Daphnia pulex: one gene and its partner. The protein of the gene in region 1 purifies or fractionates together with the protein of each later gene. This does not show direct contact. Links are inferred from orthologs where the notes say so. Each region holds a gene or a part of one and is shown on either strand. Other genes may lie near its edges.

What was found.
Region 2: the proteins of NF-kappa-B inhibitor-like protein 1 (region 1) and RNA-binding protein with serine-rich domain 1-B-like purify together in Homo sapiens (co-immunoprecipitation; 3 studies listed by BioGRID and IntAct, with this or other methods). This does not show direct contact. The link is inferred for Daphnia pulex from reciprocal best matches to the Homo sapiens genes NFKBIL1 and RNPS1.

The regions. Positions count from the first base shown.
Region 1 is NC_060018.1:4,544,089-4,547,380, forward strand, and holds NF-kappa-B inhibitor-like protein 1, read right to left. Parts: upstream 1,977-3,292; 5' UTR 1,860-1,976; coding exon 1,550-1,859; intron 1,491-1,549; coding exon 706-1,490; 3' UTR 644-705; downstream 1-643. Other genes in the region: mitogen-activated protein kinase p38b-like, read right to left, coding at 1-46; aryl hydrocarbon receptor nuclear translocator homolog, read left to right, coding at 3,160-3,292. UniProt on the Homo sapiens protein: Involved in the regulation of innate immune response. Acts as negative regulator of Toll-like receptor and interferon-regulatory factor (IRF) signaling pathways.
Region 2 is NC_060025.1:2,684,634-2,688,257, forward strand, and holds RNA-binding protein with serine-rich domain 1-B-like, read right to left. Parts: upstream 2,179-3,624; 5' UTR 2,097-2,178; coding exon 2,095-2,096; intron 1,994-2,094; coding exon 1,844-1,993; intron 1,788-1,843; coding exon 1,629-1,787; intron 1,562-1,628; coding exon 1,197-1,561; intron 1,137-1,196; coding exon 1,001-1,136; intron 937-1,000; coding exon 777-936; 3' UTR 563-776; downstream 1-562. Other genes in the region: transmembrane protein 11, mitochondrial-like, read left to right, coding at 2,447-2,469, 2,551-2,771, 2,838-2,950, 3,012-3,185; dehydrogenase/reductase SDR family protein 7-like, read right to left, coding at 3,274-3,624. UniProt on the Homo sapiens protein: Part of pre- and post-splicing multiprotein mRNP complexes. Auxiliary component of the splicing-dependent multiprotein exon junction complex (EJC) deposited at splice junction on mRNAs.

The DNA of each region.
Region 1 (3,292 bases):
CCCATTCTGTTTTATTTAAATCAATCTTATAAAATCCTGTTCTCATTTTGCTGTTTTTTATGATTTTCAAAAAAACATCAAAACAGAAGTAAACAAAGGAAACAAGGAGTTTGATCGAACAAAGGCGAAATCAAAACAATCAAAACCTCACAAGAATGAACAGGAAATTATAACTTCTACTCAGCCAATTAACAGACGACTAATCGCTCCATCTGTTATATTGAGAATCCATATCTACTTTTTGCGATCAATTATTCCCGTGGGTATAATAAACGCATTACTTTTCCAAGATAACCCGTACATATAATTGTTTAAATTTTCGATTTAAGTCTCATATCACGTATTCATTAGTTTTCCTTTTCATTAATCATTGAAAAAAAAAATGATTAAGAATTGATTAGGTGAACAATATAGGGGAATCGTACAACGTTGCACGGTTTAAGCAAAGCGTTACTTGGTAAGTTGCTGAAACCTTCGGAAACTGTCTTGCGGGGTTTTTCAAGAAAATTTCGTTTTTTCTTTCTATTAAAATCTAAAAACAAGAAACAGGTTTTCAACGAAGGCTCCGAATTCCGGTTTATCTAATCTACTGTGCTTCGAACGCTTGTTAAAATAAAAATTGAATTTGATGGTTTTTAAAATATTACTTTCTGGAAAATATTTAATGTTTTTTTTTATTTACACAGCACAAGAATTTTGTCACTTTCACTTGTTAGTGACTGTAGAAACGCAGTTAAATGCATTCAAATATTGAGAAATTTCAGTAACTTTTTTCATAACATTTTCACGTATTTCTTCTTTTAAACGCACGCCAAATTTCTGAGAAAATTTATCTGGATGCCAAAGTCGCTGCAGCTCGCGCAATGCCTTCCTCTTGGCGTCAGGATCTACCAAATCCTTGACGTGCGCCAATATAAGTTGTCCAATCGATTCAACATCATCTGTGGGCTTAAATGGGAGGTCTGATATTTCAATTTGATCTTCAGTTTGAATCAACAAACTAAGTTTGGTAAGGAATGTAGTAAGCTTTTGAGTAGCTTTAGCCTTTTTTCGAAATTCATTCCGCATTTCTTCATCCCGCAAGAATTGCTGTTGATCTTCCGTAGACCAGGATGGCTTCAATTTTGGTGGGGATGGTGGTGTAATATGAAACTTTTGATATGACATTTTTTTCTTATGCTCATCAATCATTCTTTTGGCCCAGGAGTCATAAGATTCTGTTTCATTTACATCCTCTTGAACAAAATCTTCTTCATATTTTCCCCAGTGACTTCCATATTCATCATCTAGTTCTGCTGAAAGTTTCTTCTGCCATTCTTTTTCATCTTTCTGTTGAGAAAACTCTGTCTTTTTTTCATTTCCTCCTAAATGATACTCATAGACAGAATCAGCAAGATCCAAAAGATCTTTGGCAGTTTGGCCTTCCAGATTAGGTTGTGTTAATGAAACAGCCATTTCTTTAAGATGAGCAAGTATCATTTTCCTGTAAGCTAAAATATTTGAATGTACTAGTTTCTTTATTTACTATAGATTTCGAAAAATAACTTACCAGTTAAATATTCATTTCTCCCGTCAATTTTCATGATAGCTTTCAATGCCAGGTGAAGTGGTGTGTTGCCCTTGCAATCCATTGAAGTTGGGTCTCCAAGAGAATTTTCCAACAAGAACGCAACAATCTCATGTTTTCCTTGTCGACACGCCAGATGTAACAATGTTTCTCCTTTTTTGTTGACACCTATCTCGTCCAGGTGGAGTTTAGCATACTTCCTTCTTCTTGCGTAATGTTTCAGTTGTTCAACATTATTGGATTTAACGCAACTGATCAGCCTGTCAAACCGCTTCTTCGTTTTCGATGACATCGGAAAACATAAATAAAAACCAAGTTGTCTAAGTTACAATGTAAAGATTACGGAAGTAAAGGAACTCGAGCTTTTCTACATTTTTATTTTTGTTTTAATTCGTCTGCTATTTGTTAGTGTTGCCATTTGTTAAGTTGCGGATTAAAGTTTCGTTGACAGTCCAATAATTTTTCAGAACCTATCACAAAAAAATATTTATTGAAATTTGATACTTTGAAAAATTTATATCAGTTTTTAAAATAAAGTTTTACCGGTCCAAAGTTCGATTTGGAAAAGAATCAAAAAGTTCTCTCCCTCTTCGTATTCCATGTTGCCACGTTCAGAGAAAACATGGCGCTAGGCGTATTGTGACGCGAAGAAGTTGGTTTCTAGCTCTACGCAGTGAAAACTGACATTTTTAAAGTTTATTTGCACAGATAAAGCAAAACTACAAATAGTTTGTGTACAACACGTTTAAACTGTGAAGACTTGATCGGAGAAGGTCTAATTCGGAGTATTGGGAGGAATCTAAGGTTGAGGGACATTTTTGACAGCTTTGTTCCTTTTTCCTTCATGGACATCCATTTAGCAGGACTTCATCAACTGTCTGGTAATTGCCTTTAGGTTTATTTGTTATCAAGAAATTGTATATCTTAAAAATCTGTTTTTATCACGCTTAAGATGTTTTACTATGTACCCAATTTTATATTGGGCGTAAAGCCAGGGGAAAAGCTAAAGTGCATTATACCATTATAACCAACCACTTAAGTGATTGAATGTAAAGCAGAATAGAGATTTTCTTACTAGTGTACAGGAAACATATCTAAATTTTCTTATTTTTTCAATTATCAAATGATTATACTGTAACATTGTGTTTACTACTACCTCAGATGGGTTTCCCGCAATAACCCTAGTTGTGTTTAATGTAGCTCAAGTTAATTTCTTTATAATGGGTTCAAGAGTTCAGTGTGCAAAAGAATTTATTCAGCAGGTCAGGCACCTTTTTCCCCTCATTCCCACATCTATTATGTCATTAGGCAACAAAGCAAAAGCAGCTTCCCTTATCTTCCCCTGATTGTTTCTTTGTTTCAGATCGTGTATAAAACGTCTCCTTTTCGCTGATGCAAAGGACAAATAGTTTCGTACAAAAAAAAAGGTTTTGTTTTCATATCCGCTTTAATAAACTGGGTTGGATGATTTGCGATGTTATCGATTTCTAAGTTATCAGTTGCGTGGGAAAATGTTAGCTTGAACGTTAGTTGCGGGAGAGAAAAAGGAAAGCTTGCTTTCAGCTGCTGAGGGTCAACAGTCTTCTTGGGGCATGGATCTATCGCCTGAGGCAAAATTTCCTCTCTTCTCCCGTCAGTTTTATCTCGTTTCCATGAGACTTAGACTTGAAAATTCTTTTCACGTTTTCGTACTCTTCACCCGTGGATTCCAGTATCCCGCGTTCA
Region 2 (3,624 bases), on another chromosome or scaffold:
TGCGATTCGCTGACTGCTAAGAGGATAATAAGAACCAAACAGACTTCCGTAATTGAGTACAGCTGTGCAAACAAATTTGTTCCAACTGTTGGGCGCGCCGTTGCCGGATGTAGGAAGACAACACAATTTACCAAATCGACTTTTTCATAGGAGGAAAAAAGCAGTTAGAAACAGCTACATTCCGGTTGTGAGAAATTTCTACCCTCCCCCTGATAAAAATTTGCTGTTCCTTTCTTTGTGTTTATAACACCGAGGCGAAACCGTATCTCCCGCCTTTCACATGTCACTTGTAAACCGGAATGAAAGTGTTCTGACTTGTCATGTCCCGCTACACACACTTCTATTGAGTTTCCAACAAACAGATCCAACTAGTTTTTTTTTAAGGCTTATCCGGTTTCTCCTCCAGCAGCCATTGACTTTAAAAAGAAAGCATTACTACTCGGATTACTGGAAAACGTCAGATGGCAACATAAACTTGCGGTTGGGTAACTTTTTAAATTGATAGATAAAATAATAATAAGACTTTTCATTTCAAATGAAAAAGAAATGTAGTAGAAACAACTGAAGGACAAATGCCATTGTCAGGTGATATTGTATCGTCTTGCAGGATTCCATCGAAAAAGGGAAAATTTACGGAATACGTGTGGCATTTACGCTATTGACTCATCAGCAACAGCTCGGGCGAAAGCAAAATCTGAATCACGAGCACAAAGTTGAGTTGATAAAAAAAAAAGAGTGGACGTTCTTCAACGTTAAATAAATCATGATTGTCTTATTTAACGCGAAGAAGATGATGAACTGCGACTGTAACGGCGATTGTTGCCACCTGAACGGCGATTGGGTGAACGAGACCTGGAACGGGCAGGTGGAGGTGGTCTCCTATCTCTGTCCCTTCGTGGAGGAGATCGTCGACGTAGGGGAGAACGTCTTCGGAATCTGTAGAAATGAACACAACAGATGCAAATAACCGGAATAAAGATTTACTTTAGTAGTATATTACCTTGGTGGAGATCGACCACCACCCATGCCCCAACGGCCCGGTCGATTTCTGGGTGGTGAATTCCGTCGAGGTGGTGGTGGACGGTTTTTAGGGATCAGCACAGGGGCGGCTGTGATTTCTTGTCCATCAATTTGGCCTAGAGATTATTTGAGATTAAAAACGTATTTATAGCAGTAACCAACAAACGTTACTTTACCTCCGTCCATATGCTTCATTGCATTTTCTGCTTCGTCGGCAGTACTGAACTCGATGTAAGCAAAGCCCCGGTGGAGGTGACTTAACCCAGCACGTTCGTTGGGAAACTCGACAGCTTTGATGGTTCCGTAAACGGAGAAAATTTCGTTAATGTGTTCCTTGTTGACATTGCGCGTCAGTCGGCCGATGTGGATTCGAAGTGGCTTGGGTGTAGGTGAACGATCGCGACGACGCCTCCGGGGAGATGTAGAGCGGGATCGTTTGTTTTCTTTGTTTCTGTCTTTGTCAACATTCTTTTCTCCATCCAGTTTTGTTTTCTCTTCATCAGGTTTGCTATCAACTTTTGGCTTATCACTCGCTGGGGCTCTGTACGTCAACAAAAATGCTGTTATCACAAGAAACTTGTTTACCGTCATCCAACTAGAATAATTACCTCTTTTTCTGGTGCTTCTTTAATGAACCGCTGGAACGTGAGGAACCTGATGAATCAGAAGAGCTAGATGAACTAGATGATGATCTAGAGTCTGAAGAAGAACTGCTGGATGATCGTGAACTAGAGCTGCTGCTACTGCTGCTGCTGGACGATCTAGAACTGAAATGTCACATTAAGCTGAAGGTTTCATTAAACACAACAAAGTTTAACACTACCTTCTGCTTGAAGAACTATCACTGCTTGAAGCTCTGCCTTTTTTCTTCCCAGAATCTTTGGTATCCTTTTTGTCTTTGCTAGCATCTTTTGATTTACTGGAATCTTCGCCGGCTTTCCGGTCTTTTCGATCGCCAGTTTCTTTGTCCGGCCTAAGTGATTTACACAAATTTAAAATATTGTTAATTTAGATTCATCGTAAAAATTTACTAAATTATTAAATGATGCTGAGGATTTAACTCGATTTACTCACATTTTCAGAAAGTTTTATTGAAAAACATACGAGTTGATAAAGGGGAGGAGCGTTAAAAACAGACGCTTAATGCCACTTGCACAACGTTGCCTGTATTAAATAGATTCTCGTTTTTATTTTTATGAATGTAAAGTTATAGTTTTTTAATTGGAACAAGTTATGTGAATTTTTTAAAGATTAAATCAAAGATTATTTAATTTTTTATTATTAAAATGTTAAACTAGTTGTACGACAGCCGACGGCAACGAAAAAATGTTTCGGCAATGATTGTTTTTGGGCTGTTGCCGAAACTCTACAAGGCCGTCAGTACGTATAGCAACCACTTGAAAACACTGGCCAAGTGGCAAAAGAAATGGCAGACAGGAGAAAGAGCAGGTAATCCCTTGCATGACTGTTTAAAAATATTATAAGCTTCCGGTCGTCACAATAATATTATGATGCTGTTTCAAATTTTAGCGGGCCACATTCGGCGGAAATAGCGGTCGTAAGAGAAATCTATGACGGTGAAAACGCCCAGGAAAGATTTGAGCTAGAACTAGAACGAGCTCTGGAAGCTGCTGTTCCAGTAATTGTCATTGAGCCAGTTCGACTAGGCGATGAAACGGCGCGATGGATCGCCGTTGGAAATTGTCTTCACAAGACAGCAGTACTTGCTGGACTTGGTTCGGTCATAACAGGTAAATTGTTGCTAGTATTCAGTTGTTGCATTATATAAGTCTAATTTTGTTAAATTTCCTGTTTAGGATTTTTCTGTGATAATCGTCCATACATATACACTCCATTAGGTCTCCTTTCCTTGCTGTGTACAGGACTGTACACAGCATCTTGGCAATTTGATCCTTGCTGTAAATACCAGGTAGAATACATACACTTGACTAAGTTGGCAAAGGTCATAGCAGATATCGGTTTTGCTTCAGGTTGAAATGGATACAAAAAGACTGGCCAAATTACCAGTTAATAGGTTGACCACTTCCAGTCCCATAGTTCTCGTAAGAAGAGATGATAACAAACGGAAGACTCTTCATTGCACCATCTGTGTTACAGCAGCTAGCATTACCCTTTGGAAGCTGTACTTTATTGCCTTCAAGTAGTCTTGTTATAAAGAAAACTTCCCAAATGTACAAACTGAACAATACATCCTTATTATATCAGAATGTATTAGAGATTCTCTACTAGAAATTAACGACTTTTTTTGCTCTTGGCCGCTCGACGCGCCATAAGTTTGAAATAAACGTTGGGTAGAATTGCACGAAGAAATACTGCTAAACGATAAAAGAGTGAGCAGAGCATCAGCTCTTGGGTTTTTTCCTTAATTGCAATGACAATTTCATATGCAGCTTGGAGTGGATCCGCTCCCGACTCCGTAGTTTCATCCGTCTGTCCATATTTGTCTCCTCGGCCCGTCAGCGCGTTCAGAGACAAACTTGTGCGGATGTATCCGGGGTTAATGACTGTCACATCAATCTTGTGACGATGGATTTCCGCTCGCAGACTGTCGCTAAATGCCTGAAGTGCATGTTTGGAAGCAGC